Linked DNA regions of Notamacropus eugenii. The protein of the gene in region 1 purifies or fractionates together with the protein of each later gene. This does not show direct contact. Links are inferred from orthologs where the notes say so. Each region holds a gene or a part of one and is shown in the gene's direction. Other genes may lie near its edges.

What was found.
Region 2: the proteins of TSC22D4 (region 1) and NRBP2 purify together in Homo sapiens (affinity purification with mass spectrometry; 3 studies listed by BioGRID and IntAct, counting the BioPlex papers as one, with this or other methods). This does not show direct contact. The link is inferred for Notamacropus eugenii from reciprocal best matches to the Homo sapiens genes TSC22D4 and NRBP2.

Annotation. Positions count from the first base shown.
Region 1 is NC_092873.1:80,322,959-80,339,594, forward strand, and holds the start of TSC22D4 (TSC22 domain family protein 4), read left to right. Parts: upstream 1-9,051; 5' UTR 9,052-9,615; intron 9,616-10,564; 5' UTR 10,565-10,867; coding exon 10,868-11,611; intron 11,612-13,878; coding exon 13,879-14,042; intron 14,043-16,636. Other genes in the region: NYAP1 (neuronal tyrosine-phosphorylated phosphoinositide-3-kinase adapter 1), read right to left, coding at 1-13, 645-991, 3,395-3,462.
Region 2 is NC_092875.1:85,373,629-85,389,619, reverse strand, and holds the start of NRBP2 (nuclear receptor-binding protein 2), read left to right. Parts: upstream 1-7,794; 5' UTR 7,795-7,868; coding exon 7,869-7,982; intron 7,983-9,514; coding exon 9,515-9,637; intron 9,638-9,726; coding exon 9,727-9,828; intron 9,829-10,099; coding exon 10,100-10,189; intron 10,190-10,361; coding exon 10,362-10,402; intron 10,403-10,868; coding exon 10,869-10,963; intron 10,964-11,085; coding exon 11,086-11,109; intron 11,110-11,214; coding exon 11,215-11,298; intron 11,299-11,502; coding exon 11,503-11,558; intron 11,559-11,829; coding exon 11,830-11,925; intron 11,926-15,991. UniProt on the Homo sapiens protein: May regulate apoptosis of neural progenitor cells during their differentiation.

The DNA of each region.
Region 1 (16,636 bases):
GGTTTCTGAGAACCTGACAAAGTCCCAGAAAGAAAAGGCAGAGACTGAAATAAGACTGACATAGAAGAGTCATTAAGACATTCTAAAGGCCATCTCCTTTCAAGAGGCACTCTGCTCCTTTCTCCCCCTCCCGTCTCCCCTAACCCAGAGCTCTAGTCAGTCAGTTTTCTGTCAGTCTTGTTTATGAACACCAGGAAGCCTACAGTTTTTGAATTCACTCCCACAATTCATCTCCTGACCCTTAAAATGGACTTCTAGGATAGATTCTTCTTTCCATAGAAATAGCTCAAATCCATTCAGTGAAAAGAGTTATGTCCTTGGAGTCAGAGGACCTGCCTTCAAATCCTTCCTCTAATACTGACTGCTTGTGTGACATTGGGCAAATAATTTAACCTTTCAGAACCTCAGTTTCCTCATCTGTTAAGTCAGGACAGTGGACCAGATGGCCTCTGAGGTTTCTTCCAGCTCTATAACCTAAGATCCTACAACCACCCAGAATGGAATCTCTTGTTCATTCTAAAAATGAAACCTTCCACTTCCCCCTGGTGCCAAAATGGATACTCTCAAACTCAAAATGGACCTTTGTTCCTGTGGAAAATCCTTGCTGAATTAAGGGAATATCATGGGGGAAAAGAGGATTGTACCTGCTTTCTTGCTGGGAGGTGCCTCAGCCCCACTTGCAGCCATGCTGAGTTTGGTGCTGGGGTGTCTCCGGGGCTTCACAGGTGGCCTCCGGGCTCCAACATCTCCCCCAACTCCACCGCTCCCCCCACCACCAGTAGTGCCCCCACTACTCTCCATGCTCCCCACTGAATGGCAGGAGAGGGAGCGGGGAGCCATGGCACTACGGCAGGGGTGAGGAGCATGCTCCTGGGAAGCAGGCATGGTCATGAAGCCCATCCTGAGGGAGCGTCGAAGCGAAGAGACGTCTCGTGCTCGAACCCCGGGCCCTGGCCCTGAAGGACCTGCAGGTCCCACTTCCTTACTTGCACTGAGGGAAGGGATAGGTAAAAGAAAAAGAAGCAGAGAAAAATGAGAGAGGCAAAGGCAGTCATCAGGTCAGGCAGGGCTTCCCCTAAAGCTACCTCGTCACCTCCTGGTGTGTTATGGTATGGTGTGTGGGTGTGGGTATGCTGCAGGCAGCAGGTGAGGAATGAGGATTAATACAGAGATCCATGGGAAAGGACACTAAAAATAAAACAGAAAGCAGTGGTCAGAGGGGGAAGCTTCAAGGCCTCGGTCTTGGGGATTAAAAAGACAGAAGAAAAGGATAAATGGATAAAAGTTTTGAGGGTACAAGCTAGGAGGACAATAAGCCCCTCAGTCTATTTGGGCCCCCATATTTCAAACAGTATCTGCACGAAATGCTTTGTGTATAATTTGGAGAGCTGCACGGATTTGATGTCAAGCACATTCCTCATAGAGGAAAGCCTGAGTGGCACCCGCAGATGCAGAATCAGCCCCTAAGGTTTCACATCTGGCCCCTGGCCTCACTCCATGCTGGAGATATGCACACATTTCTGATGGCTTACTTTTCCACTATGTTTCCAACTACTTCAGTCATCCTTAGCCTGCCTTCCTCGCCCCCCTCCTTTATGATTCTCCTTCCTCTAGCTCTCCTTTCTTTCCTTCTGTCATTCTTTTGCCTTACTCTCTTTCCTGATTCCACAATTTATCCCTCACCCTCCCCTCTCATTCACAGCCTCTGTGCTTCTGTGCGAAAGAACAGAGGGGGGGAGAACTGTAGGGGATGTGTGTGGAAACTGGAGGGTTGCTGTGGGGTGGGATCTCTGATTAGGGCCCTGTCTACTAACCCTTCATTAAGGGGAGATCTCTGCAGTGATAGCTCTGATTAATCTAATTAACAACATTAATTAAATCCCACAGTAAGGAGGGGGAGGAGGGGTAATGGGGAGGTGGATCTGACTCAGGCTTCTCCAGACAGTATAGCCACGAGGGGGAAAGTGAAGGAAGTCAAGGGGTGGGGAAATGAGGAAGGAAAGCTCTGAGAGGGAGATTGGGGTAAGGAGAGAGGGAGAGAGACAGGGAGAGATAGACAGACAGAGAGAGAAACCTATAGTAGGAGGCAAAGGATAGGATGAGTACAGATCTTAGTGTAGTCTGAAGGGATCTAATATAGTCCTTCAAGAAATTTTGCCTTTACATGACTAATGTGAAAATTGTTTAATAGGAATGCATGTGTAGAACCTATATAAGATCACATGCCATCGGGGAGGGAGAGTGGAGGAAGGGGGAGAAAATCTGGAACTCATGGAAGTGCTTGCTGAAAAGTGAAAACAAATAAATTAATAAATTTTGGGGGAAAAATTGCCCCCCAAAAAATCTTGTCTCCGTTATTTAGTACCTGTGTGAACCTGGACAAATATCTTAACCTCTCTGGTCTTCAGTTACCTCATCTATCAAATAAAGGAGTTGGACTGAATGGGTTTTAGGGTCCTTCCAACTCTAGATCTATGAACCAACTCATAACGACACATTCTGCTCACCTCCAGATAAGCAAGGTGATGCACTCAGAGTGAAGACTGAAGCATATTTTTTTCTTTTTTTGGACATGGCTAATGTGAGAATTTCTTTTGCTGACTATACGTGTTTGCAATGGGTTTTATTTTTCTGGCTTTCTCGATCAGGCAGGGGAGGAGGAGGTAGGAAGGACAGAATTCAGAACAGAAAATAAAATAAAATTGAATTGTAAAAACATTTAAATAAATCCATGATCCTAAGTTAGTTTTCACTAGTCTAGAGGCAACGATGGTCTCTCATCTTCCATTTCTTCTACCTTGCACCTCTTTCCTCAACTTTTCCCAGATTAAGAAGATGGGAAAGGAATAAAAAAGCTCCCTCATTCATCCAACTCCCTCCTTGGACCCTGGGAGGTAAGAGAGCTGTTTGCCTCTGCACCTTTATTGTTGGACTTGTACTATCTGAGGTCAGGTGACAAAGAACAGAAAAGGCAGCCCCAAGTAGGATGGGGGTAGGGAAGAAGAAGCTAGGGAAATGAGAATGGAATTTATGCTAAAGGTATTTGGGGACGGTAGAAGAGGGTTAGTAGGGATATGGCATTTGGGGATGGTAGAAGCTGGGGTGAACAAAAGAAACCATCTTACATGAGGGGTAAGGGAAAATTAAATCAGGAAGGAATACTTTGGACAGAAAAGTAGGATCCTGAGGACCAAAGAAAAAGCTTAGAACTTAAATACACAGAGAGCTGGGATCATGCTTATTATGTGATTCTCTTTAGGGCCTGTAGAACAATTGCTGTTCATGATTAAATGAGAGAGAAAAGTGAGGTAGAGGAGAGTTGACAACATCCAAGTTGACACTAAGTAAGAAAAGCAAATGAAGACAGAGTATTAGGATCATTTTATGGTCTTACCTCCTTTTCGCCTCCTCCTCCTTGTGCTGTCTCCACTCCAGCTTGGTTTTTCGGTAGAGCAGGTTCATGTCGTAGGGCAAGAAGGAGGAGATGTGGGGCTCTGCTCAGCACCACCAGGCCTGGGGGGGCCCCCTCCCTGGGTCCTGGATCAACTTGGTTGGGGAAAAAAATAATAGTAGTAGTGGTGGTGGTATGGGGTGGTTGTAGGAGTACAAGTAGTAATAGAGACCTAGCAGAAGAAATTCAAACCATGTAGGCATAGGATGAACATGTCATCCTCTGTCATCCTCCTGCATGCTCTTGGAAGGTGCTTTCAGTGAGTCTAGGAAGATGAATTTATATCCCAATATTCTTATTCAATTTCAAAAAGTAGTCATTTTATCAATCTGGACAACAATCCGCAGAACATGAGATATATAAGAATAATAACAGGATAGCAACTTGCTCTTGGTCCAGTTCTATCTGAACCCATCAAAAAAGATGAGAGTAAGTTAATGCAATCGTAACTGACATATAATAGTGCCTTAAGATATGCAAATCACTTTACATATGTAATAATACTAGCTTACATTATATAGCACTTACAGGATGGCAAAGTGCATTACATTAATCTCATTTTATCCTCACGACCTCCCTATGAGGAAGCTGGGACAAACAGAGGTTAAGTGACTTAAGGGTCACAGTTAAGATGAAAAAGAAATTTTTTTAAAAAATATGAGAAGATACCAGGAATAAAAAGGATAGAGGACATGACTTGGGCCCACAAAAAAAAGAAACAAAACAAAAACAGATTACAGATAGGTATCGAAAAATACCTCAGATCCCCAAGTGTGCAGAAACACATACTGACAAAATACAAGCATATTCTATACAGACTACATATACAATATATACACTGTGTATAAGACAGGCCTAGATAATACAGAATACACTACAGGGCCAGACACATTGATGAACATGGATACATGGACGTATACACAGGTAAACAGATCTAGAGACAGATGCACCCACAGACATAAACACCCACAGACACACCCACAGACTAGAGACACACACAAACACACAGACATCCACATTAATCAGATACCCAGAATTAGACAGGCTGAAACAGAAGAGTTAATGCTTGGTGCCTTATTGGTGTAGGTTTACAACCATTTTTTTTATGGGGGGTGGGGGAGGCTCAGTCAAGTTCCCAGCATCTGGGAGGAGGGAAGGGGGACTGAGTCAGGCAACAATCACTCTTCTTAACCCAAGACTGTAGTCCAGCACCTGACTGCCTAATGAATCACCCCTGCCCCCACCCGTACCCCAAACACACACAAACACACACATACACATACACACTCCCCTTCCTCCCAGCATTTAGGCTAGGGCCTGGCCCTGCTCCGTCTCCTTGTCATATCCCTCTATCACCTCCTTGGCATCAAGTCCCCTGCCTCCCCAAGCCCTGGCTCCAGTCTCCTTCCACCCTCTTGGATCTGGGGATGCGGACAAGCCCTTCTCCATCAGTCCCAAGTGTTGGCTCACCCCCGAAGCATCAGTGGGAGAGGGTGGGGGTCGCGGGGGGGTGGTTGCAGGTTGAGTCCCTGGCTCCAGAGATCTCCCACTCAGTGCCCACCCTCTTACCTAGCCTGGCACTTGCCCCATCCCTCCCCATCCCCGTTCTCCTTGCTCATCCTGGGGCCTCTTCCTCCTGCATCCCTACATCTCCCCGGATTCTCTGGACCTGGCCTGCCCCATCTCCCGGCCCCGTGGTTCCCGTGCCCTCCTCCACCTCTCCCCTCGTCCGGATCCCCTGCGCCTCTCAGCTCCCCTTCCTCCACCCAACACCCCTCCCTGCCCAGCCAAGTCCCCCCAGTTTCCCCATTGCCCCCGTACCTGGCCTGCCAGGCGCCGGCCCCCCCATGCCGGGCGGAGCCCGGAGCAGGAGGAGGAGGAGGGAGGAAGGGAGAGAGAGACAGAGAGATCAGGGGGAGCGGAGCTCGGGCCTGCCGCAGAGACAGCCCCGCCTCCAGGCCCGCCCCCAGACCCGCCCCTCCACGCGGGCCGGGGCAGCGGCGGGAGCTGGGGCGCTGAAGGGAGACTGAGGCGTGGAGGCGCGGGCCGCGAGTGGATGGGCAAGGGTGAGCGGGGCGGAGAAGCCCGGAGACGGCGAGGGGCCGGCCCCGGCGCCGGGGCCTTCGAGCGGCCGCTTGTCTTCAGGGCTTCGCTTGACCCGCTCCTCCGCCGACCCGGGAACCTAAGTTTGTGGCCCCAGCCGCGACCACCTCGGGCTGCGTGCGGCTCGGGCGCCCCGGTGCGCCTTGGCGCGGGGGGCCCCCTGGTGGCCGCGTGCGGACCTGCAGCCGCCGGCCCAGCCCTCTTCACTCCTTGTCTATTTCACAGCCCCCTCCAGCCCGGGAGCCGCCAGGAATGTGTGCTGGCCCTGCCAGGGAGGGGAAGCTTACTGAGGGGATCCCCGGCCCCCCTTGGCTCCTCTGTGAAGCAAGGGGCTTGGACAAGGTGTTCTCAAGGCCCTTTCCGGCCCTAACATCTTGCGGTTTGGAGTTGGGGATCTTGCAAGTTTCAGGGCTCCCCCCAAGGCAGGCCAGCCGGGGGTGGGGCGCTGTAGTTAGATGGAGAGACCAGTAGGGGTAAGCAGGCTTCTTTTCTGAGAGACAAAAGAGACCGGCCCAAGACAGACAGATGGCTGTACGAATAGACAAACACACCTCTCCAGCAGGAGGGGCTGTTCGCCTTCTAGGTCTCCTGAAGAGGAGAAGGCTGGGGGGAGCTGGCTTCATCCTTAACCCATCGACTTTCCTTTCCTGCTGTACCTGGCGTCCTAAAAACCTGGACCTTGCTTCTCCGTAACCCTCGGCACCCCGGAATAGCACGAGCTCTCATCCTAGGACTCGTGCAAGGATTACTTTGGGGGGCAAGTCAGTGGTCCCTGATCATGTTAATTACCGCCACTGATCGCAGCACTTAGCGTCTGTCTCTATGAAGTAAATTCCAAAACCGTGAAGACCTATCCACCTCCCCAATCCCTACCCTCACCCACCTCCTAGAAATCTGAGATCCCACAATTGGTGATTTATTCTTTTGCCTTTAGGTCTTAACTTCTGTTAAAATACCCTTAGGCACAGTGAAGTTCCTAGAGAGGAGAGAAAGCATATCTATCTCTTCCCTCTCAGCAGAGAGGTGAGATTTCTAGGACAGAGTATTGTATATATTCTCAGGTAAAGTTTCCGTATCAGTTTTCCCTTCATTGTTTTTCTTTGTCACAAGGGAGGGTGTAGTGGGGGTGGGGAGGGAGGGAATAATGATGATGCAAAGACCAAGTGATCAATAAAATGAGTTCTCAAAATAATCATGAAATAAAACATGCCTGGAAGATATAACACTATTGTAATAGAATATAAGCCCTTTGAGGACAGGAACTGTTGTGTTTTTCATCTTTGTTTCCTCAACGCCTAGAACTGGGCACTTTAGTAAATAAATATTTGTTGAATTGGATGAGTTTGTAAACTGAAAACAGTTTTTTGGGGGAAAATAAAGGGAAGATAGTGATGGGGGGGGCAGAGAACCCCAGGGTTTAAAGCGATAGTTTTCTTACTTGGCTATTGTTTCTAGGACTAGTTACAATCATAATTATCCAAAAGCATTTCCTGAAAAAATTTGGATTTATTTGAATTTATGCCTTTATATTGAGATGGGTGCTTAAATACTGTGACTGCATGCAGGGAATACTGTGGGTGTGGTACTGGAAGAGCACTGTGCCAAAGAGAGGGGTAATTGACACTATGAGAGGCATATAACAGTTATTCTAGGAAGTATAGAGTAGGATCTGTGGGGGCCTTGCTTCCAGGGCCTTACAGGAGAAGGGAAGGAAACAAGCCACAGTCCAGATTTCTTTTAGCAAACAGAAACACACATACATATATGGACACATACATGTATGTGTGTATGTATGCATATAAATATAATACATGTCAGTTGCATCTTACACTTTGTGACTGACCCTATTGGGGATTTTCCTGGCAAAGATACTGGAGTGTTTGTCATTTCCTTCACCTGCTCCTTTTGCAGATGAGGAACTGAGGGAAATAGGGTTAAGTGACTTGCCCAGGGTCATGTAGCTAATAAGTTTCTGAGGCCAAATTTGAACTCAGGAAGAAGTCTTCCTGACTTCAGGCCCAGAGTTCTATCTACTGTGCTACCTAGCTGCCCACATCTATATGATGCAGTATTTTGTGTGTGTATACACATGTGCATATGTACATATACACATATGCATCTATGTATATATATACAATATTAGAAATGCTGTCAAGAATTTGAAGGGGAGAGTTCACTGGATCATGTCTATTAAACCGAAAGGAATCTTAGAGCTTATTGAGACCAACCCCCTCATTTTACAGTTGAAGAAACTGAGGTCCAGAGAGGTGAAGTGATTTGCCCAAGGTTGTATGGCTAATAAGTATATGAGGTAGGTATCAAGGATCTTTCTTGATAAGATTTGTCTAGGGAGGACTGGAAGTCACTCCAAAGATCAGTCAATCAAGATTTATTAAGTGCCTTGTTAAGCCTTAGGAATACAAAAAGAGGCAAAAAATATTCTCTTGAAAATATTCAAGGAGTTCACAATTTAATGGGGGAGAACAACCTCCCCCCGGAAAGAGGGGATAGTAACTTCCCTTGAACTCAGGAAAGTGAAAGGATACTTAAAACTACTATCCTCTGAATGTTTTGAGGGGGAGGAAGGGGAGAGGAGAGCGGGGAGTATAGTATAGAAATTACAAAGTATGCTTTGGGACATTTTTGCTGTCCAAAAGTGGAACAGGCTGTTTTACTTGTTGTGTGACCATGGCCAAGTGACTTAAACTTCTTGAGCCCTAGTTTCCTTATCTGTAAAATGGAAATAATAACCTGTAAAGCCTATCTCACAGATGTCATGAGAATGCTTTTGCAAACCTTGAAGTCATATATAAAAGCTAACAATGATTATAGAGTAGCTTTAAATGGCAATGAATTTGTTAGAATGGAAGTTCTCCATGAGGCATGATGGGACCTTGACCTCTGAGGTCCTTTCAGATTCTGAGAACCTAGAAATCTATGAAATCTCTTTATGCTAAATGGCCTGTCCTTGAATTTCTTTGGGAGAAGCAAGGTGGTAGGGTCGTAAAATGAGAAAATAGGAATTTGGATTCTTTCTAAGAGGAGTTGTGTGTGTATCTCTGTGCACAGATATTTATGTGTATGTATACATATGTATATATATGTATGTATGTATGAGTATCTGTGAGGGCATCTGTGAATCTTTGTTTACCTGTTCATATTTCTACAAATGTGCTGAGTCCAAAGATATATATATACACATACATACATACATATATATAATACATACGTGTGTGTATGAATAAATATCCTCTGTGTCAGTTCACGTATATGGACATTTATCCGTGTCCCCGTGTAACTGCAAGGGAATTGATCTTTCTTCCAACCCAATCTTGACTCCCTAAAGTACTGGGAAGAGCCTACCTCACCAGGCAGGTGTGGGGTTAAGAGGACCCCAGTGTTTGGGGCCCCCTCTATGAGCCACAGTAGTTCTGGAGTAGGGCCAGCTGGCAGAGAGCCCCTAGAGGAGGGCGGGCAGGCGGGAGAGAGTGAGAGAGAGGAAGAAGGGAAGGAGGAGGAGTAGAACAGCAGTCAGCAGGGCTGAGGAGGCAGGACTTCCTGGTGTGGGGGTTGTCAACAGCTCAGAGAGAGAGAGACAGACAGACAGAGACAGAGAGGAGCTAGGGAAATTGAGAAAAAGAGACAAGAGTCCAAGAGAGAAGAGCTGGAGACAAGAGAGAGACACATGCTCGATGAGAGAGACAGAGAGACAGAAAGAGAGAGAGAGAGAGCGCGCGAGCGCGCTCCACTGTCAGAAGGGAAAAGATTCCAGAGAGAGTAGCCCTCGGCTTCTCTCCGACCAGCTGTGCTTTCAGACCTAAAGGCCCTTCACCACCATAAAGGCCATATTCCTCTGGGACTGAAAGCAGTGCTTATTATTTTTTGGAAAACAAAGTTGCTGTGGAGATGACTTGTGGGTCAAGGAAAGGCCTCTACGGACTGTACTGCCTGTGACCACCACCCACCTCCTCCCTTTTCTTGGAGCTTAGGCTGGGAGGCCCCACTCTCCTGCTCTCCTGTGGACAGTCTGTTGGGGCATCTTATGCTGCCAGGATCCCCAGGTCAGGTTTCTCGAGTTGCTCTGGGGAAATTTAGAGGTGGGATTGTAGGGGGGTGTGTGTGGTGTGTGTGTGTGTGTGTGTGTGTGTGTGTGTTTGTAGGGGTGTGTGTGTGTGTGTGTGTGTGTGTGTGTGTGTGTGAATTTAGAGGTGGGATTGTAGGGTGTGTGTGTGTGTGTGTGTGTGTGTGTGTGTGAATTTAGGGGTGGGATTGTAGGGGTGTGTGTGTGTGTGTAGGGGGGTGTGTGTGTGTGTGCGTGTGAATTTAGAGGTGGGATTGTAGGTGTGTGTGTGTGTGTGTGTGTGTGTGTGTGTGTGTGAATTTAGGGGTGGGATTGTAGGGGTGTGTGTGTGTGTGTTTGTAGGGGTGTGTGTGTGTGTGTGTGTGTGTGTGTGTGTGTGTGTGTGTGTGTGTGTGAATTTAGGGGTGGGATTGTAGGGGGGTGTGTGTGCGCACGCATGTGCCCAGTTGGGGTAGCCGAGGATTAAGGAGAAGTTTTAGCACCCCATAGATTCTGAAATGGGTGCTAGTAGCACTGAAGGGAAGCTCTCCTCTCCCCTCCACCCCAAGGTAGACTAGGGTGTGAAAGCCCATGCCAGACCAGAGCTGTGAAGTGGTGAGCTCACCTCCCTTTCCTGTAGACCCAGATTCCTTGCTACATCTCGAACTTGGGACTTGGCTTGTCTCTTTCTGCACAGTACCAATAATAACCCATGTAATCTGTTTGTTTTGTCTTTACTTCCTCCAGCTCCTTGTCTCTACCTCATTCTGTTTCCCATTCTTTTTTTTTCTTCTACCTCTTGTGGTTCCTCTATCTCTCTCTGGTGGTTTCCCTCGTTTCTCCCCCACCCTGATCTCCACTGCTCTCCCCACAGAGGAAGCACCCAGAGTGTCTTACTCCCATAACACCTACTCCCTCCCCCAGTGACTCTCTAATTTTTTTCCTCCTAGTTTGCAAGTTCAGCTCTGGAGTCCAACAGCGGCAGCAGCAGCAGCAGCAGCAGCAGCAGCACTGGCAGCAGCAGCCAAAGGAAAGCCTGCCCATCCTCCAACTCCCACAACTTCTCTCCCTGCTATTCCTCAATTTCAGAGGCGGCCCCAGTTCCTTGAACTCTCCCAGCTATGTTGGACCCCGATGTTGCCAGGGGCCCTGATCCCACAGCTATATGGCCTCCTAGTGCCAGGGGCGCCTGAGCGCTGCCTGGAGAGAGGCCTCTCCTCTTCGTGCAGCTCCTGTCCCATTTCCGAGGGACCATGAGCGGGGGTAAGAAGAAGAGTAGTTTCCAGATCACCAGTGTCACCACAGACTATGAAGGTCCTGGGGGATCTGGGGGAAGTGACTCCCCTACAGCTATGGTTCCCACCTTACCCACACCTCGTCTTCCCAATGGCGAGCCTAGCTCAGAGCCGGGAGGCAAAGGGACCCCTCGAAATGGCTCTCCACCTCCCGGGGCCCCAGCGTCACGTTTCCGGGTAGTGAAACTTCCCCAAGGACTGGGGGAACCATATCGCCGAGGGCGCTGGACATGTGTGGACATTTATGAGAGGGACTTGGAAGCCCCAGGACTCAGCCGGCTCCTGGAGGGAGTTCGGGGAGCCACTGGAGGGACTGGTGGTCGCTCTTTGGATTCTAGGCTAGAGTTGTCCAGTTTGGGCCTGGTTCCCCCAAGCCCCCAACCTCAAGGCCCAACCAACTGGCTGCGTCCACCCCCAACTTCCCCTGGCCTTCAAGCCCGATCTTTCACTGGGGGACTAGCTCAGCTGGCAGGGGGCAAGGGGAGGGCTGAAACACCACCTCTTCCAGCTTCCCCACCCCAGCAGCACCCCCCGGAGCCCAGCGATGGGGACAGTACAGGGGTACTGGTACCACATGCCTCAACCCAGGTGCCCACCCTTAGGGTAGAGGCCGAGGTGGGGGCCCCAGCAGTGACTCCTCCAACCACCCGAAAGAAGGATGGAGCCTTTTGGCTGAGGAAAGAGGGGGAGGAACGAGGCCAGGTAAGAGGCAAGGGTGGGAGGGGTGCACGAAAAGGGGGTCTCTCTGCAACTTAATTTTCTTCCTTGGACTTGTGTTAGTCTCATGCCTTGTCCCAGTTCCTTCCTGGACTTCAGGTTCCCCTTTATATCTATTCTGTCCTCCTCAGTTTTTCTTTTTTTGTACCTCAACTCTCCCATCCTTATATTTGACTCTTCCAGTCCCTAATACTTCTCTATGAACCTGAATTTCCATCCCTTCTCTCAATTCCATTTCTCCCTCTTTTGCTCTCTTCCCCTTCTCTTAAGTTTCTTTCTCACTTTTATTTCAGTGTTGTGTATCTCTTTTGTCCCTCCGTATCTTTCTGTTTCTCCATCTGTTCTTCTGAATTATATAGTTTTCTCTGGACAAAAGTTTCAGAAATGGAGGAGACTGATTGATAACACTAGGCTCTGTAGGGGAGGGTGTGAAGGATCTGACCATGGAGTTGACTGAAAAGAACGCTTTTGAGGGGTACTTGTGGGGGAGACACAGCTTCCTTCACTCAGCTATCCTGTGGTTTCCATGCCCTTCTGGCTTCTTCTATCTGTGGTAAAGTTAGGCCATTTCTGTTCTCCCGGTTCCAGGACCCTTCCCCTCAAGCCTCAGACCAAGGCTTGGAATCTCTAGAACTGGAAAGGAGGGTATTTTCAGGGGCTTGCAGTACCCCAGGCATAGCTTCCAGATCTCTTTCCACCCCTGCCCTAGCCTCCAAAGATTATGATAGTTTTGGAGGGGGTGGAACAAAGGGGAAGAGGGCTAGAGGAGCAAGGTGAGAAAAGTAAAATTGTGTATGTTTTTTTCCATTTCCAAAAGAGGAACAGGTCAGTTTGGAGGATAGGATGCCTGGGTCCCTAGAGGACCCTGTTGGAGGTCAGGGGCTAGGACACTTGAATCTCTGGTTAGGGAGCAGGGCTGAGGAGGCAGGACAACTCAAGACCTTGGAGAAAGGGAGGTTTGTGGGAAAATGAAGATGAGGCCTTTTTCCCCCTTCCAGGCCCCTGAGTACAAACCACTGTATAAAAATAACCTGAGACTGAATGTCTGGGCCCTGCCAGGACTGGCCAGGACTGGCTTACCTTCTTCCCTCCCCCCCCCCCCCCCCCCCCCCCGCAACCCCCCACAGCCACACGTACACAGGTCTTTCACCACCACTACCACCCCTTACTTTCTTTCAGTTGGTTCACTCATCTACCCAGTTCTGGGGGTTGAGGCTCTATTTCTACTCTTTAATCCCTTTCCCCCAGACTCTGTCTCTTTCCAATGCCCCTAGCCTCTGTCTCTGCCACTTAAAGCCTTCCTGGCTCAGAGTTTTCCACTATGTTGAGTCTTTGCCTCTCTTCTCCCCTTCCCTCTCCTTCCATAATTCCCCAATCCTTGTTTATTTAAAACAACCTTCTGGTCTCTTTCTTTCAGTAGATATATCTTTGCGTCTTTCTCTTTTACCAACCTCTTTCCCCATACCTTTGAGGTGGGGGGGTGGAGAGAGGGAAGATGGAGAGCAGACAGAAAGGACCTAGAGGCCCCCACGTCTCTGCCCTGTCCTTCTGGCAGTCCCTGGATTCTCTGTTCTTAAGTTTTCCTAGAAGCAAGGGCCTCCTGGGGCCTCACAGAAGGAGGTTTGTTTCTTGACCCCCCCCACCCTCCTCCCCTCCCCTCCCCTGTTGCATCCACCCTCTACAGCTCCACACCCATTCTCCACCTCCTCCCAACCTCCCAGTAACAGCGGTAAAAAAAGGAAGCAGAACACCTGGGTGTTGAGGCTGGAGCAGTGGTTTAGTGGGGATGGGAACTGGGAGGACACTATCCTGTGGACCAGCTATGGAAACTTGGGGGAGCTGTACGTAGGAAATGATATAGGCAACCTTCCCCCTTCCCCTCCCCATAACTGTATTTCTGCCTAGATTTCTCTGACAACTAGTTGTTGCTGAGTTCATGCTGGGTATTCTGTCTTTGATGAGGTGAAGGTGATGAAGCTGGTACAGATACAAAAGCCTCTTTTAGCCACTGCCCTCCCACCCCCATCCAAACTGGGGCTATGTGAACTGAGCACTTCAGGGCCTTGTGACCACAGAACACATCCCATGGGTCACTTAGGCATTACTTGTGACCACAGGTCACTTGGGTCATAGGGAGAAAGGTGGGCTAGAGCAGAAGAGAGGTAAGGTGGGAGAACCAAAAGACTAGGTATGATTTAGAAACGTGTGTGTGTGTGTGTGTGTGTGTGTGTTGTGTGTTTTTCTCTTTCTAGCTCCCTCTCCGAGGCTCCCGCCCTGGCTCTCCAGCCCTCTCCCTCCTTCAGGATACCAATCCCAACCGGAAATCCTCAGACCCCTTTGGAGCCTCTGCTCAGCGCCTGAATCTGGCTCGATCTATGCTTGCCATTGGTGGCTCCCTTGACGGTGATGATGACAGGTAGGAGGGACTTCCTTTTGAATTGGCTTGATAGAGGGCCTTTTTTTTTTTTTTAAAGAACTGGGACATATGAATTAAACTTTATATACATATATATATATTTTTTTTTTGCTGGGGGGGGCTGTTGGGGTAGGGGGAAGGAAGAGGGAACACAGTTTCCTGTTTTGAAGGGACTGGGGGTGGGAGGGTGGTTTGTATCTGAAAAACATGACCTGAACAAGCCCATCCTCAGCCTCAGTGAAAGAAGTCGGTGGGAAGATGACTTGGGTCTGAAAAGCGTGAAATAAGGGAACAAACCCCTCCTTACCCTCAGAAAAAGAGGTGACTTGTGACTGAAAGCATGAACTAACTGAATAAGTCCGCCCTCACCTTCAGTGAAGTGGGTGGGTGGGTCATTCTGGTTTGGTGGAAGCAACTCTTTATTCTGACCTGGAAACCTCTTGTCAAGTCGGGGAAGAGGCCAGGGAGTCACATTAGATTCTCTCTGCCACCAGGAAGAGAAGTGGGGCATCCTGCCTTAGCTTCCTGGACCCAGGGAGTACCCAGTCAGTCCTGGTGCTTAGGGAAAACTTTGATTGTGGTCTCATCCCCTGGCCATAGTGGACAGATCCCTTCTTCATGGTCATGCTGTGGGGGAGGATTGTTGACATGTAGATAGATGGGCCGGACTTCCTTTAGGGGAGAATGGCCTGTGTAGAGGCAGGAAGGAGGGCAAAACTTCCTGTTTCAGGGGCCAGATTTCAACATTTGAGTGTCAGCAACCCCTAACGGGAGGGAGCTACTGGGCAGCTTGAGTTCTGTCTGTGGATGGATTGGGGCAAGGTAGAAAAAATAGGGAGTTGACACTTTTTATTTCATTAGGTAGATGGAGTGGGAATTCCTATTTTAGTGCTATTTTAGGGAGTAGGATTTACTCATTTGGAAGGTGATAAGGAATTGGATTTCCAGAGCCAATTAAGTTAGTAGGTACTAGGAAGAGTGAAGTGTTTCCAGTAGGATTCCTATGGACCACACCCTTCTCTTTAGGTTTCATCTTCTTTCCAGCCTTAGGGAAAAGCCCTAGGGAAGGAAGATTGTGGAGGGGATAATTGAGTAGAGGAATGGTAGATAAATAAAATAAGCTTGGTCTGTGGAAAGGATCATAAGATGTGGGACAGAGAGATGTGAGGAGAGAGGAAGGGAGGGGAGAAAGGGCCTGCCAGGCAAGGCTGAACAGAGCAGCTGTGGGTTCAGGAATGTATGAGGTGTGAGGCCTGACACCACATGGCAAGTCACTTGCACCTATCAGGGTGACTCCTGTTGCTTCCCACCCCCTCCTTTTTGGCAGGCTCCCTGGCAAGAATAAGCCTCTCTCACAAGCTCTCTGCTGTGCTCTGCGCTCCTCTCTGACCTTCAGTTCCTTAGACTCAGATCGTCTTTACATTTCTGTCTCTGTCTTTCCATCTGTCTGTCTCCTTTTCAGCTTCTGCAGTCCATAATCTTTCATGGAGTTCCATTCTCTCAGCTCTTTCCTTCCCACTCCCTCCACCCTAGTCTGACTGGTTGGTTTTCCCAGTCTCAGCTTCATCCAGTTCTGCTCTGGGGCCCTGGCCCTGCCTGGCTTCTTTTGCCCCGCCTTCCTGGGCCAGCTGGTTTTGGTTGAGTCCCCCTGGCTCAGGAATGGGGTGTGTGGGCCTCACCCCACCTCTTTATGCTTGGGAAGAGCTGGGGGACACACTGCCCGAGTCCTTCCTAAAAGGAAAACTTGGACCAGAGAGCCAGGGTGATTGGGTAAGGTAATGGTAAGGTGGGAGGGAGAGCTGGGTTAGAGAGAGCCTGGGTCCTTTGTGGGGGAGCTGGGCTTGACATGGTTAAGGTGGAGACTGAAGGGGCTGGACCTGTGATTGGGAAAAGGGATCGGAGCCCAGGAGGCAGGATGCCTAGGCCTAAGAGGGGATGAGGACATAGGAGTTCCTAGTTTTCCTTTGCTCTCCAGTGTAGAGGCAAGAACACCCTTTTTTTCCTAGTCAGGGCAAGGAACCAGATCTTTGCCCTCCCTTTGCCTTGCACCACCCTGAAGGCAGCATAGATGCGGGAGAGGAGAGAGGGTTGGATCCCAGTTGGCTGGCAAAAGGCCCAGACCCTGGGGGCTGCTCAGAACACTGAGTGGGGAGGAGGCCTGCTATCTCTCCCCTCTTTCTGCTTCCGATTGTCCCTAGTATCAGCTCTCCTTGGCCCGCCTTCCCCCTCCTTGCCTCTCCAATCCCTAGATCTCTTAGACTTGTCTTTCTAAACCTCTGTGTGGTAAGGCCTTCCTCCCTAGAGAAGAACAACTTTTTTTTTTAATTTAAAACTATAATAATTTTTATTTAATTAATTTAATGTAATTAATACAATCTATTTTCTCTCCCTCTCAACCTTTCACCAATAGATAAAAAAGAAGAGAAAAACTCTTAGAACAAATATAGTCAAAGCAAAACAAATTCCTAAATTGACCATGTCCAAAATAAATGTCTTCCTCTATGCCATGATCTCTCTTTCAGGAAGTGGGTGGCATACCTGGGCCCACTCAAATCACAATTGGTCAATGAGCTGCCCAGAGTTCTTAAGTCTTT
Region 2 (15,991 bases), on another chromosome or scaffold:
ATTCCACTAAAGGAAAGAATATAATGCACACTCATTTTGATAGGAAAACCTATCTCATAATACAGGAGAGTGGGGGACAGGGGCACAAGCAGGGTGGGGGGGAGGATGGAGGGGAGGGCATGGGGAGGAGAATGCAATCCAAGGTCGACACTCATGGGGAGGGAAAGGACCATAAGAAAATAGAAGTAAAGGGGGACAGGATAGGATGGAGGGAAATATAATTAGTCCTATACAACACAACTAGTATGGAAATCATTTGCAAAACTAAACAGATATGGCCTATATTGAATTGCCTGTCTTTCAAGGGGAAGGGGTGGAGAGGGAGGGAGCTAAGGAGGTTAGAACTCAAAGTGTTAGGACCAAATGTAATGTGCTTACCACTGGGTAACAAGAAATACAGGTTAAGGGGTCAAGAAAGCTATCTGGCCCTACAGGACAAAAGAGAAGACGGAGACAAGGGCAGGGAGGGAGGATAGAGGAGAGAGCAGATAGGTCACAGGGGCAATTAGAAAGCTCGGGTTTGGGGGGGGGGAGGGGAGAAAAGGGGAGAAAATTTGTAACCCAAAATTGTGTGAAAATAAATGTTAAAAATTAATAAAAAAAAAAATTAAATGAATGGCAGAAACCATAAAACAAAAAACAAAACAAAATACAAAAGAAAATAGTCTGCTTCATTCTGTAATCCAAAAAAAAAACCAAACAACAAATATGCACCAAGTACTGTAGCATCCAAATTTTTAAAGGAAAAAGTAAATGAATTACAGGTGGAAATAGATAGCGAGATTATAATAGGGGGGACTTCAACCTTCCTTTATCAGATAAATCTAACCAAAAAAATATATAAGAAAATTGTCAAGGAGATGAATAGAATCTTAGATAAGCTAGATATGATTGACATCTGGAGAGAAATTAATGGGAATAGAAAGGAATATACTTCTCAGTAGTACATGGCATCTTTACAAAAATTGATCATATACTAAGACATAAAAGCTTTATAGTTAAGTGCAGGAAAATTGTAATATTAAGTGCATCCTTTTCAGATCATAATATAATAAAAATTACCTTTAAGAAAGGACTATGGAAACACAGATTAAAAATTGATTGGAGACTAAATAACCTAATCTTAGAAAATGAGTGGATTAAAGGATGTCATAGAAACAATAAATAATTTTATTTAAAAGAATGGTAATGAGACAACATACTAAAACTTGTGGGAAGCAGTAATCAGAAGAAAATCTATATCCCTAAATGCTTACATCAATAAAACAGAGAAAGAGATCAATGAATTGGGTATACAATTTTTAAAAACTAGAAAAATTGTAATATCTCCAACTGAACACCAAATTGGAAATCCTAAAAATTAAGGGTGGGTGTAAAAAAAACCCATTGAATTAATAAATAAAACTAGGAATTGGCTTTTATGAAAAAAACCCAAAATAGATAAACCATTGGTTAATATGATTAAAAAAGAGAGAGAAGAAAACCAAATCACTAGTATCAAAAAATGAAAAGTTGAGAATACATCACTAGTGAAGATGAAATTAAAGAAATTATTAGGATTTATTTTGCCCAATTATATGTCAATAAATTTAACAATTTAAGTGAAATAGAAGAATACTTTCAAAAGCATAAACTGCCCAGATTAACAGAAGAAGAAACAGGATATTTAAATAAACCTATTTTATTTTTTCTACCTAATCATTTTCTTTTTTTTTTAATTTTAGACTCAAACATCAGAACACAAATATAGATGAGAGCAAATAAAAAAATCATAAACTTAAATGCAAAAAAAGGGGGAAAAGCATGTCATGTATATAGCAAACATAAGAGAGGATTCATAGTATGTAATGATAAATTTTCATTTCAAGAAATCCTGTATGATAAATACTACATGTTGTGTTGGAAGTTATCCTTCTTTTCTTTTCTTCCTTGTATAAAATAAACCTATTTTAGAAAAAGAAATTGAATAGGCTATAAATGAGTTCTTAAGGAAAAAACCAAAACATCAGGACATATGTATTTACAAGAGAATTCTACCAAACATTTAAAAATCAGCTAATTCCATATTAAATAAATTATTTGGAATGATAGACAAAGGAATCCTACCAAACTCCTTTTATGAAACAAATATAATGCTGATAACTAAATCAGAAAGAGCAAAAACAGAAAAAGAAAATTATAAACCAATTTTATTAATGAATATTGATACAAAAATCCTAAATAAAATACTAGCTAGGAGACTTTAGCAATATATCCTTATGTTTCCATTGTGACCAAGTGGGATTTATACAGGATTGTAGAGTTGGCTCAATATAATTATTAACACAAATGATTGTATCAATAGTAAATCAATCGTATCAATAGCAAAAGTAATAAAAATTTCATGGTTATATCAATAAATGCAGAAAAAGCTTTTGACAAAATAAAGAATTCATTCCTATTAAAAAAACATAGGTGTAAATCTATTCTTCCTTAAATTGAGAATAAGCGTCTCAAACCATCAGCAAACATTATTAGCTAGAAGCTTTCCTGATAAGATCAGGAGTAAAACAAAGATGCCCATTGTCACTAACATCATTTAATATTATACTAGAAATAACAGTAAGAGAAGAAAAAGAAATTTCAGGAATCAGAATGGGCAATGAGGTAATAAAACTATTTCTTTTTGTAGAAGATGTGATAGTATACTTGGAAAATCTTAAAGATTCAACTAATTATGTGAGTTTATTTTATATCCTGCCACTTTGCTAAAATTATTATTTCAATTAACTCACATAAATAATCAGTATTTCTATATATTACCAATAAAGCCCTGCAAGAAGAGATAGTAAGAGATGTAAATAACCATAAACAATATAAAATAACTAGGAACATATATGCTAAGACAAACCCAGGAACTATATGAATACAATTATAAAATACTTTTATTCAAATAAAGTCAGAAAATAATTGGAGAAATATTAATTGTTCATAGGTAGGCCATGTTAATATAATAAAAATGACAATTCTATCTAAATTAATCTATTTATTCAATACTATCCCAATGAAATTACCCCTCCTTCCAATTTTTATATTGAGCTAGGGAAAATAATGAAATTCATTTGGACGAACAAAAGGTCAAGAATATCAAAGAAATTAAAAGATGTAAAGAAAATAGGTCTAGCAGTACCCAATTTTAAACTGTATTATAAGGTGTTAATTATCAAAATTATCTGGTACTAGCTAAGAAATAAAAACGTGGATCAATAGAATAGAATAGATATACAATACACAGTAGTAAATGATTGTAGTAACCTTGTGTTCGAGAAATGTAAAGATTTAAGTTTTGGGGATAAGAATTCACACGGTTAAAAAAATGCTGGGAAAACTGGAAAACTATTTGGCAGAAACTAGTATAGACCAATATCTTACACCATTTGCTAGATAAGGTCAAAATGGACATATGACGTAGACATAAAGGGAAATATCACAAGTAAATTAGAACACAGAACATATTACCTATCATATTTATGAATAGAAGAATTTACAAATAAACAAAAGATAGAGAGCATTGTGGGATGTAAAATGGATACTTTGGACTACCTTAAATTAAAAAGGGTTTGTACAAATAAAACCAATGTAGCCAAGGTTAGAAAGAAAGCAAAAATACAGGGGGAAAGTTTTATAGATAATTTCTCAAGTAAAGTTCTCATATCTTAAATATGTAGAGAACTTTGTCAAATTTATAAGAATAAGAGTCATTCCTCAACTGATAAATGGTCAAAAGATATGAACAGGCAGTTTTTGGAAGAAGAAATCAAAACTACATGTAGTCATCTGAAACAATGCTCTGTCAATATTGATTATAAAAAAATGCAAATTAGAACAAAGTTGAGATACCATCTCACACCTATCAGTACGGCTAAAATGATAGAAAGAGGAAATGACAAATTGTGGAGGGGATGGGGAAAAATTGAGATGCTAATACATTGTTGATAGAACTGTGAACTAATCCAACCATTTTAGAAAGTAATCTGGAATTACGCCCAAAGACTTGCAAAACTATGTATATATTCTCTGACTCCGCAATAACATGATTAATATTAATTAATAACACAATAACTGTTTCCTGAGATGATCAGGGAAAAAAGAAAAGAACCTATATGTTCTAAAATGGTTATAATTCTTTTTTGTGGTAGAACTGGAAATTAAAGGGATGCCCATCAATTGGGGAGTGACTAAGTAAGTTGTGATATGTGATGGAATACTATTGTGCTCTAAGAAATGATGAGTAGGTTGATTTTAGAAAAATATGGTAAGACTCGCATGAAATAATGAAGAGTGAAATGAATGGTACCAAGAGAATGTCATATATCATTAGCAATAGTGTTTGAAATTCTGAGCAAGATGAATATTCAAATCAATTACAAAGGACCTATGAAGGAAGATGATATCCACCACCAGAAAAGGTATTGTATGGTTGTGCACACACATACACATATATGTATGTATATGAGCTCACAATGTAACAAAAACTAAATTATTTTTAAAAGAGATGACTTTATTATTAGCTTGGCCTTATTTGAGGCTTCTTAAACTTTTTCCACTCGCGACCCCTTCAGTGACCCCATATGAAATTGCGACCCATAATTAAAGAAGAGAAGGCAGTTCCTCTGATAAAAGTCCATATTCTTGAGGGTCAACTAAAAGCAAACCCAGTTACTGGAGAATCATCAGTGGGGTTGCCCATGTCTTCTTAACTAGAGGTTAGGGCACAAAAAAATTATAGATCTATAGCTGGAAGGGAGTTTGTAGGCCATCCAGTTCCACTCCCTCATTTTAGAGGTAAGGAAGGAAGGCCCTGGGAGACTTAGGGACTCACCCAAGGTCACATGGGGAGTAGGAACTTCCATGGAAGGTACTCCCTTACAGCACAGGTCCACAACACATGATCTCATCAAGTTGGTTGGGGAAACTCATTAAACTGATCAGAGGTTCACCTCCCATTACAACTAGATCTCTGAACCAATGATTTCCTCTAGCCAATGACTAGTCAGGTGGACATTTTTTTGTTCTCTACCCAGATTGTTGCATTCAGGAGATAGGAACCGCTACAGTCAGGAAATGAAATTCCAGGGACACTGTCATTAATTATTGTGCCTACCACAGCAGTTAAAAACCCAAGGAACTGGGCTGATTTTGGGACATCAGGCCAGAGAGGAAAAGTCCCATCAGGTGGCCAGGTGGCAACACATGTGAAAGAAGTGACATAGAGAGGGTGAATTCACCCAGTGGTAGGGCAGGGCACTCCATCTCTCCCTCTTTCTCACTGTACGGGAGTCATAATCCTCCTCTGAAAACATAACCAGACAGCAGAGACCTGGGGAAGCAGGGCAGAGATAGTATGACTCCAGTGCTGAGCAAAGTTCACAGGGTGGGAACCAGAAAGCATCTATCTCTGGGGAGAAGACAGCTACTCACCCTAACGCCTCGGATCCCTGATGCAGTATCTTAGGAGCCACTTGGGCTCCTATTCCACCAAAAGCTTCTGGGAGAGTTTAGGGAAAATGAAATTGTGAATTTATCTATTATAGGGGGGGTTGTATGTTCTGGGAATGGAAATGGCTGACTCTATACCTGAGTGGCAGGTGATAGTTAAAAGTTTAAATACTATGTCTTTTGAAATTAGGATGTCTTTTCATAAAGGTATTCTGGAGTGTAATCAGAATGTCTTTTTCTTTTGGTTCGAAGTAGGTGAAAGATATATAAGGATATTAATGGGAAATGAAGTATGAGCTATATTTGGAGACGATCTGACTTGTGATAATTTTGTAACATATTCTGTTAATAAAAATTTTACATTTCAAATCTTAGACCAAGCTGAGGAGGTAGATGCTTCCACATCACTTCTCATCTGCTGCTAGCATTTAGGAAAATTTCCTGAACTATCTGCAGTTACAGAATCAGTCCCTTTGAAGGTATCTAACCCATCCCTTTCCATGTCATTAGATTACTAGGCTACCCCTCCTCATTAAGTGTAAAATTCTGTTGAGGGAGGGTGTAGCAGACCCCAGTTCTGACCCCTTTCTATACCAGGAGGATATAGGAACCAGAGGATGGCTCCTATTGTATGGTCACTTGTGGCTACACAATGTACCGAAAATGTACAGTTGAGAGTAGAGAAGAGACTAGGTGAGGATGAATATTTAGGTGGGAAAAAAAGAAAAGTGTGAGGACCAAATGTGGGTGACAATATCCCCCAGCTGAAATTTTTTTCTATCCTCAAATTTTTCGTCCTTTTTTGGGGTTCCTATCAAATTCTATCTTGTATCATTCCTTATTTGTGCACGTCATATCCTCCTTCCCTTATAAGTTACTTGAGAGCAGGAACTAAATTCATCAGGGTTTCCCTTATCAGTCTTGCTACATTTGTATCCTTGCGATATATAGTAGGAGGCAACTAAGTAGATACAGTAGAAAGAACTCTGGCACTGGAATCAGTCTTGGAAACTTACTACCTGTACAAGCCTGAGCAAATCACTTAATCTCTATCTGTCTCAGTTTCCTCTTTCGTAAGTAGGGAATAACAATAACAAACAGGGCAGCTTGGTAGGACAGTGGATGGAGTGCCAGGCCTGGATTCAGGAAGAGTCATCTTCCTGAGTTCAGCTAGCTATGTGATCATGGGCAAATTACTTACCATGTTTGCCTCAGTTTTCTCATATGGAAAATGAGTTGAAGAAGGAAATGGCAAACCACTCCATTATCTTTGCCAAGAAACCCCCCCATGGGGTCACGGAGAGTCTGACAAGACTAAATAACAGTAACAATACCATCTACCTCTGAAAATACAATAAAGCACCAACAACTGAAGGCTGCCGTGAGGATAAAATGGGATATTTATAAAGTACTTGGGAAACCAACCTTGAAGTGCTACATGAATGTTAGCTACTATCATCATTAGTAAATGGTTTGTTAACTTGGTTTCAGAGGTGCTCTGCTGCTCAACGATCTTTTGCTATCTTATATTGGAAAGAGCACTGAATTTGGAATCATAAGATATGGATTCAAAATCTGATGCTGCCACTTATTGCTGTGAGACCTTGGGTAACTTTGCCTGTTTGGCAAAAGATGAGTTTCCTCATCAATTCACCAATAAGTATTAATCCCCTACTATGTGCCAAGCCCTGTGTCACACAGTGGGAATACAAAGATATAAGTGAAACAGTCCCTACCTTCTGGAAGTTTACATTCCTCTGGGGGATGGGTGGGGGCACCGACATTTGGGGAGATTAGAAAAGATTTCCAGTTACGTTTCAGAAAACCCCCCTGCAAAAGGTGTGTGTGTGTGTGTGCGTGTGTGTGTGTGTGTGTGTGTGTGTGTCTGTGTGTCTGTGTCTGTGTGTGTGTGTGTGTGTGTGTGTGTCTGTGTCTGTGTCTGTGTCTGTGTGTCTGTGTGTCTGTGTGTCTGTGTGAGACTGTGTGTGTGTATACACAGAGACACCCACCAGGCACCAGGGCACACTCAGACACAAGGGTGGGGCCGCGGGCTGGGGGCTGGCCAATGGGAAGGGGCCCCAGGCCGCGACGGGGGCGGGACGAAGTGGCCTAGCCAGCCCGAGGCGGACCCCGCGGGGCGGGACCAGGAGGGCGGAGCTCCCCGGCCGCTCCCAGGCTCCCGCCTCGGCCCCGCTGCAGCTGCGGCCGGAGCGCTGCAAGAGGAGCCCACAGGGGATCCAGAGGAGGGAGGGGCGGGGCCCTGCCCGTGGCCGTGGCCGTGACCGTGACCGTGAGCGAGCAGAGCCCGCCAAGCCTCCGGACTGGCCCGCGCCGGCCCCAGCCCCGGCCCCGGCCCCCGGCCCCGCACCGCTCCCCGGGCGGCCGCAGCCATGGCGGCCCCGGAGCCGGCGCGGCGGGGCCGGGAGCGGGAGGACGAGAGTGAAGACGAGAGTGAGATCCTGGAAGAGAGTCCGTGCGGCCGCTGGCAGAAGCGCCGGGAGCAGGTGGGGCCCGGGCCCCTGGGGCTGGGAGCGGTCGCGCGGCGAGGAAACGAGTAGGACCTGGCCCAGGTTGGGAGCGAGCGCTAGAACTAAGGGGACTCGGAGTCCTGGCAAGGGGGCTGTCTGAAGGAGGGACGGGGCTCGTGGGCCCTGAGTTGTGAACGAGGACTCCGAGAAAAGGAAGACGCTAGGACCCATGGGACACGTGGGCCTTGGGCTGAGGAAGGGGTGCTGTGCTAGGGGGAGATTCTAGGACCCGAGGGGTTCGTGGGCGGGGATCATAGAGCCCTTGGTGAAAAGCAGACTGGACCTCAAGGGGCTGGGTAGGCGGGGCCCAGAGCTTTCCCGGGGCTGCGGCTTTTGGATAGGGGTCTGTAGGAACCAAGGATAGTTGGGGCACTGAGGGCGGGGTCGACGGGTAGGGGGGTAGGTAGCTGCTGTTTGCTGTGCCTTTGGGGCGGGGGTTCAAAGCGCGATGTGATGGGAGGGACCCAGCAGCAGAAGGCTGCCACCGAGGGGCTATGGGGTGGGGCCTTGAGGGGCTCGAGTGAATGGGGAGCTAGGCTTCAGGCTGCTTTGGCTCAGTGCCCAGGACTTGATCCCTCAGTCCTATACCAGCTCCTACTTGCCCCACCTCCCTTCCCCGAGCTCTGCAGGGCCCCTACTTTTTGCCTCACTCCGTTTAGAACAGGGGGAGAAGCAGACAGACACATTCTCCTAACAGAGTAGGGGGCGAGAGGGGACAGACACATTTTTTCAACATGTACAAGAAGGAATTGCTTAGTACCATCGTGGGTTAGAGTGATAAATCTCAGTAAGGCCCCTACTTTTTGCTTCATTCCCTTTAGAGCAAAGGGAGAAATGGGACAGATCTCCCAGGGAAGGGAGGAAAGAGGGGGCAGACAGAAATCTCCATTCCCCACCCCCATGCAGTGTATACAAAGAGGAAAGGCCACAATACCATGGGGGGAGGTCTGGATCTGTCACAGGCTGGGGGATTGGGAGACATATGTACAGCAGACATTCCTAGTTTGATTAATCCTCCACTCCTGCTGTTTTCCAAATCCCTGGATTCTAGGGAAGTTGATGGTTTTGGGGGTGGGGTGAAGGGAAGATGGGTACAACTTGGGGCAGAAGCCACCTTTATGACTGCATTCTCAGTGAAAGGCAGGGTCTTTTATCTAGACGGTATCTTAGGGGACCAAATGGGCCCCTGTCCCTTAGTTACTTCAGCTTTCCCTTTTGGATCAGGCGACTTCTCTGTTCCCTCCTCTCCCCTCCCCTTCCCTTCTGAGTCCAGGCTAGAGATGAGAGGAGCCTTTGTGTGACCCAAGGGGGCCAGGGAAGGGAAGGGGGAGGTGGGGCTGGCATGGGCCTGTGTCTTTGCCCTGCCTGTCCAACTCCCCTCCCCTTGGCCCTGATTCCTGACTTGACTGGCCCCCTTCATAACCACAGTTTGTGCCCCTAACCTGCCAAGCCCCTGCCTTGTACACTCCTCGCTTCTGGTACCATGAATGATCCCACTCCCTCCCCAGGTCAACCAGGGCAACATGCCAGGGATCCAGAGCACTTTCCTAGCCATGGACACAGAGGAAGGTGTAGAGGTTGTGTGGAATGAACTGCACTTCACGGACAGGAAGGCTTTCAAGGCCCATGAGGTGACCCCTCCTTCCCCCCAAATCCACTGATTGGTATCACCTGCCCCTAGTCTGTGCTTCATCTCCCCCTCAAACCTCTGGTCCCCCAGGAGAAGATCCAGACCATGTTTGAACAACTCGTGCTTGTGGACCATCCCAACATTGTCAAACTGCACAAATACTGGTTGGACACACCAGAATCCAAGGCCCGGGTGAGCCCAGTGTCCTGCCCATTACACAGCCTGCCTCTTGACCTGTTCCCTTCCCTCTCCCCCAATCCTTGAGCCACTGGGTGGGAAGGGGCAACACTAGGGACTCAGCCTAGACCAGCACCTAACTTCCTTCTGCTGCTCCTGCTCACTGAATAGGTCAGTCGTCATTAAGCTCCTCCTGTATGCCAGTCCTCACTGTCAAGGAACTCCCCAAGCCCCCTGGGAATATGAGGAGAGTACCTAGAGCTGAACCCTGGTCTTGCCCATCTAGGTCATCTTCATCACCGAGTACGTCTCCTCAGGCAGCCTCAAGCAGTTTTTGAAGAAGACAAAAAAAAACCATAAAGCCATGAATGCCCGGGTATGGGGGCTCTGGGGGAGGGGGCTGTTGGTATTGATGGTGAGGAGCTGGACTCAGATGATTTTAACTCCATCTCTGAAGACCTTCTGGTGCTTAGTGCCTGGTGGGGAATAAGCTAGCTGTTTGCCTGAAGTAGCAAAGACTTAAGCCCTCTTCTTCCCTCTGCCTGCAGGCCTGGAAACGCTGGTGTACTCAGATTTTGTCTGCTCTCAGGTGAGGTGGCCGTGGCCCTCAGCCCGCTTACTTTGTGTTTTCCTCACACTATTTTATAGCCCCATTCACCTCTCTACGTGGCTTTCAGTTGCCCATCTACTCCCTCCAATCTCTCATTTCCCTAAGTATCTAATTCCCTGTCCGACATACAAGCCATGTGACCATGGGCTAGTCACGTACCTCCCAGTGTTCCAGAAAACTCTGAAATAATGTATTATAGATGAGTTGCCGATCTGCATTGATAGAGTTTCTTCACTGGGAGTTCTTCACACCAATGAAATCATAGATTTAGAACCCCACTCGTGGAAAATGCAGACACACATGCATATCACTCACACACACACTCTCTCTCTCTCTCTCTCTCTCTCTCTCTCTCTCTCTCTCTCTCTCTCTCTCTCTCTCTCTCTTTAATACCATATCCCCTTAGCCTCTAGCTCTTTCTGAGGCTGGGTCTGTGTCTCCTCAGCTTTCTTCATTCCTGCAACCCTCCCATCATTCATGGCAACTTGACCAGTGACACTATCTTCATCCAGCACAATGGCCTAATCAAGATTGGTTCTGGTGAGGCTGCACTGGAGGACCATGGAGGGGGGAGAGCCAGAGAAGAGGAAAAGCCTACCTTTTTGCTGGCCCTGTTCCTCCCCACCACCCATTCAGATTTTTCTCTTTTTTTTCTCCCTCAGTCTGGCATAGGGTATTCTCCAATGGTGAGTTTCAGACAGGGGTGGGTGGGAATAGATGGGGGTAGATCAAGTATTTTTCTGGGGAAAGTCCTTTGGGGCCACCTCAGTCTCTCAATTTATTCCCTCCAGCAATTCCAGATGATCTCCGTAGCCCCATACGCATTGAGCGAGAGGAACAGCGAAACTTGCATTTTTTCCCCCCGGAGTATGGCCGTGAGTGACCAATGGGACCCCTGGGGCTTCTTCCAGGCCTCATTTTTCCTTACAGTTCTCCATACCCACTCCCTTGTTCTCTTACCCCTAACCTTTATTCCCTGCACCATTTTCCTCAGTCCCTGACCCTGTGATACCTTCTCCCTAAACTTCAACCCTGTGGTATACACCCTTCCTCCCCTACCCTTGCTTCCTCGATTTCAGAGGTTGCTGACGGGACAGCTGTGGACATCTTTTCATTCGGGATGTGTGCACTGGAGGTATTGGCCCCTCTCCCCTTGATCTCCCCAGCATGGCCTTCTTGCTCACATCCCACCCTGCCCATGCCCTTTCCTCCCAGCATGCCCTTTCCAGTCCATCCCTAGGATTCTCCACCCTCCTTCCTTACCCTGAGCAGAGTCCCTGGTCATTCCTTCCTCTTTTTAAACTCCCATACCTGCCCTCTTATCCTGCTTCCTGCCCCTTCCCCCATTTCTCTCTCTTACATTGATCTCACTCAGGCTCTGCCTCTGATTTCTTCCCCTTCTCAAGATGGCTGTGCTGGAGATCCAGTCCAATGGTGACACCAGGGTGACTGAAGAGGCCATCGCCCGTGCCCGACACTCTCTGAGTGACCCTAATATGCGGGTAAGCGCTGGCATCTCCTCCCATTTCCTCCTTAGCATTCTTCCCATGTTCCACCAGTCATATATCATCTCTAAATTTTATTTGGTGTCAAACATGGCTTAGCTTTTCTCTTTCTCCAGTGAAGTCTCTTTCTGGTTTCCAACATTGGAGAATGGTCACAAGAGGGTCAGTAGTCAGGGATCATAGATTTAGGTCTGGACGGAACCTTAAGGGGTATCTGGTCCAGTCCTCCCATTTTTCAGGTAAAAAAAACTATATCCCAGGGATGTTAGGTGACTTGTTTAAGGTCACACATGTGCAGTCAGGATTTGAACTCAGCCCCTCAGATTGCATTGTAACATATTCTTTTCTCTGACCCAGCAGCTCTGACTCCTCTTCACTTTCCTGCCCAGTTATGTACAGTCTCTGTGGAGTGTTCATGTGATTTATTATTTGCTGAAACGTTGCTGCATACACTTATGTTCCTGCTTTTGGTGATACTTTTTTGTATCTTTGATCACTTCAGTGGTCAAGGGCAGCCCTGTCTATAGCCTAGTCTTATTTGGGGGGTGGGAAAGGCAACTGAGATTAAGTGACTTGTCCAGGGTCACACAGCTAATAAGTACCTGAGGCTGGATTTGAACTCAGGTCCTCCTGACTCCAGATTAGAGTCAGTGCTCCATCCACTATATCACTTAGATATCCCTTGCCTAGCTTTATTTAAGAGTATCATGGCCCAAGTATTTCCTATAATGGTCATTCCCTCCCACACTTCACCTCACTATCGTTCTTTCCTGCAGTTCCTGACAAGACAAGTTAGCTCCTGCCAACCTGGAGAGGTACAGGTACCCTTTTTTACCTGGATCTCAGATTTTGTACTCAGTGTGAAATTAGTTCCTTTGTGCCCTTTTTGGGGTCCCCTTCCCAAACATAGATGCTGGAAAACAGTTATTTCCCACCTGGCCTCCAAAATCCATCATTCGTCTATCCTCAGGCCACCAATATGCATCTTGAAGACACTGCTTTCCTAGAGTTTTTTCCTCTCTTTTCCCCTTGGTTTGTGCTCTCTCCCTACTTCCTGCTTCTTTGGTCCCAGCTTGCCTCTCTAAAAGTCCTTTTCTATTTCTTAAAGTTGGCTGTGATTCATGAGGGTGGTCAGTCTTCACCTTTCATTCTGGGGAACCATCCCAATGCAGTCTGCCCAGAATCCATGAACAAGATCACAGCTTCCATTGTGACCCATTTTCTTTTTACTTTGATAGCTCTTAAGTAGGTAAGAAATGATCCCTTCCCTTCTTACAAAGTATTACCCTTCACAACAACCTTATCAAGGCTGTAATGCAAATGTTACTCTCCTTGTTTTTTGATGTGGTGCAAAGGTCAAATACCTTGTCATTGGTCCCACAGCTATTAAGTGTCAGAGCTGGGATTTGAACCCAGGTTTCCTGACTCCTCAATCCAGCGCCTTTTTCTTCTAGGTTACCTTGATTGAAATATATAGCTCTACTTATTTCCCTAGGTGTGAACTGATGACCTCATTGTCCCAAGTGACTTTTTATACTGCTGCCTTGTTACACTGCCATCATTCCTTGAGCAGTGACTTACTAAGCACTTGTTATGTTACAAGGTTGGAGTGCTGAACGCTAAGAATCCAAGGATAAATAATGATGTCTTACCTAGCCTTAATGAGCTTAAGACCCTAAGATTTTTTTCAGATGAACTGTATTTTCTGATTATGCCTTCCCCTGCCTTATATTTATCAAGTTGATTTTTTTTAACCCAGGTGTAGAACTTGAGGTTTATATCTATTAAATTTCATCTTTTTAGATTTGACTCCTTTTTCTTTTAAGAACTTTTTGGATGGTAAGTATGTGATCCTGTGTTGGTTGGCCCTACCAGCCTTCATCATCTGCAAATCTAAGTCATTGATCAAATTGTTAACTTGTCAAGGACAAGTCCCTGAGTCACTTCTTCAAGTTGACAATCAATGAAACAATCAATAAGCATTTCTTAAGTGCCAGGTACTGTGCTCCAATGTGGTAATACCAAGACAAAAAAATGAAATTGTCTCTGTCCTCAAAGAGCTTACCTTCTATTGGGTGAGACAACATATCCAGCATAGCCATACAAATTAATTAAAGATGTTGAGCACTAGCTGATGAGGTGGCTTCAGGCATGAGACACAGCCAATTCGAAGGTCCAGAGACAGAAAAGCATGTCACCTGGGAGGAACAGCCATCATGACAGTTCAGTTGGACTAAAACATATAATATGTAAGTAGCCTAGAAAGGGAAGTTGGAGCCCGGTTGTGAAGGGTTTTAAATGTCAAATGGAAAAACTTAATCCTTGAGTCTAGAGGTAATAGGGAGCCACTGAATTTACTGAACAGGAGAATGGTATCGTCCAACCGGTGCTTTTGGAATATCAATATGGCAGCTGTGTAGAGGATGGATTAGAAAAGGGAAACACCTGGAGCAGGGAGACCAATTGGGAGGCTACTGCAGTAGTCCAAGTAAGAATCGACAAGGGCATGATTTAGCTGATATAGCCTTGTGAGAAGAGAGAAGGGGATAGATGTAGATGATGTTGGGGAGGGAGACTTGACAAGACTTAGAACTTACATTTATGTGCGCGTGTGAATGTATACATATATATATGTGTGTGTACGTATGTGTGTCTGATGGAGAGGAAGGAAGGGAGACAGCCAATTAGTGAGTAATCGTTAGGGCGGGTCACCCAAGGGGTTCTGAATCTACCTGCCCTTACTATCTTCCGTCTCCATTTGTTTGTCATGGCCAAAAGGAAACCATGAGACACTTGGTTAAGGATGGCGTTTTGTAAATAGAAATAACAAGGATATAAGCTAAGGTTTGCCCATCCCCCTCATGGTTCTGTAACTGTTTTAGTGCTTTTTTTCTCTTTGGCACCATCTTTTTGGTACATGGGATGCCATGTAGGGGCTGCCAGAATGTGCAGGCCTATTTCCACTTCTGGCATCTCTGGCAAAGTTTGGCATCTCTTTTCCTCATTCTCCCATGTCTCCCTTTTTGTTCTTAAATAGATATTTTAGGGGTTTTTTCTGTTACATTTTCCATTGTGTCCCTCCCCCACTCATTCCCAGAGAACTGTCTCTTGTGAGAAAGGGTCAAAAAAGAAACAAAAGTTCCATGACACTAACCAGCATCCCAGAGAAGTCTGACATTCAGTGCAGATTCAAAGGTAGAAGAGGGGTTGGGGACAAGGTATCTGCTCATGTCTTCCTTGGTGCCAGGCTTGGTCGTTAGAGTTTTTGGACATTCCATTTTGATTGTTTTGCTGTTCTTTCCATTTACATTGTTGCAGTCATTGTGTATATTGTTTCCTGGTTCTGCTTACTTGCATCAGCTGATCCAAGTCTTTCCATACTTCTATACATTTATCCTGTTCATCATTTCTTACAGGCAGATAGGTAACATAGATTGGGATTTCATACTGGACTTGAAGTCAGGAAGACCAGAGTTTGAATCCTTCCTTAGTGAATCTGGACAATCCCTTAACTCTCCCCAGCCTTAGTTTCTTCATCTTTGAAATGGGGGTAACAATAACATCCACTTCAAAGGGTTATTTAAGGACCAAATGAGATAACATAGGTAGGGCATTTTGCAAACTTTCAAATCACTCTATAAATGCAGGTTATTATTATTATTGTAACCCAGTAATATTCTAGTACTTTCATGAGTCATGTGCCATTTTCCAGTTGATGGGTGTCTGCTTTGTTCCCAGTATTTTGACCCCTTCCCGTGGGGTCTTTGTTGTATGCAGAAGTGAATGCCTTTTGTGCATGGGTCCCTAGGATTGCCTCCTGAATGAGATGGGAAGATCTTACCTATGAGCCAAGAAGTAAGAACTCCTAGAGCATTAACTTAAAGCTGGAGCCCCCCCTTGATTTCCCATTTCTCCAGCCCTTTTATAAAAAAAGTACTGTCCTCACGACAGCCCCACAAAAGAAGACTGTACAGGTATCAGTACTATTCAGATTCAGAGAGAAGTAATTTGCCCTTGGCCACATGGTAAGTGCTAGAGCTGGGATTTGCACCCAGATTTCCTA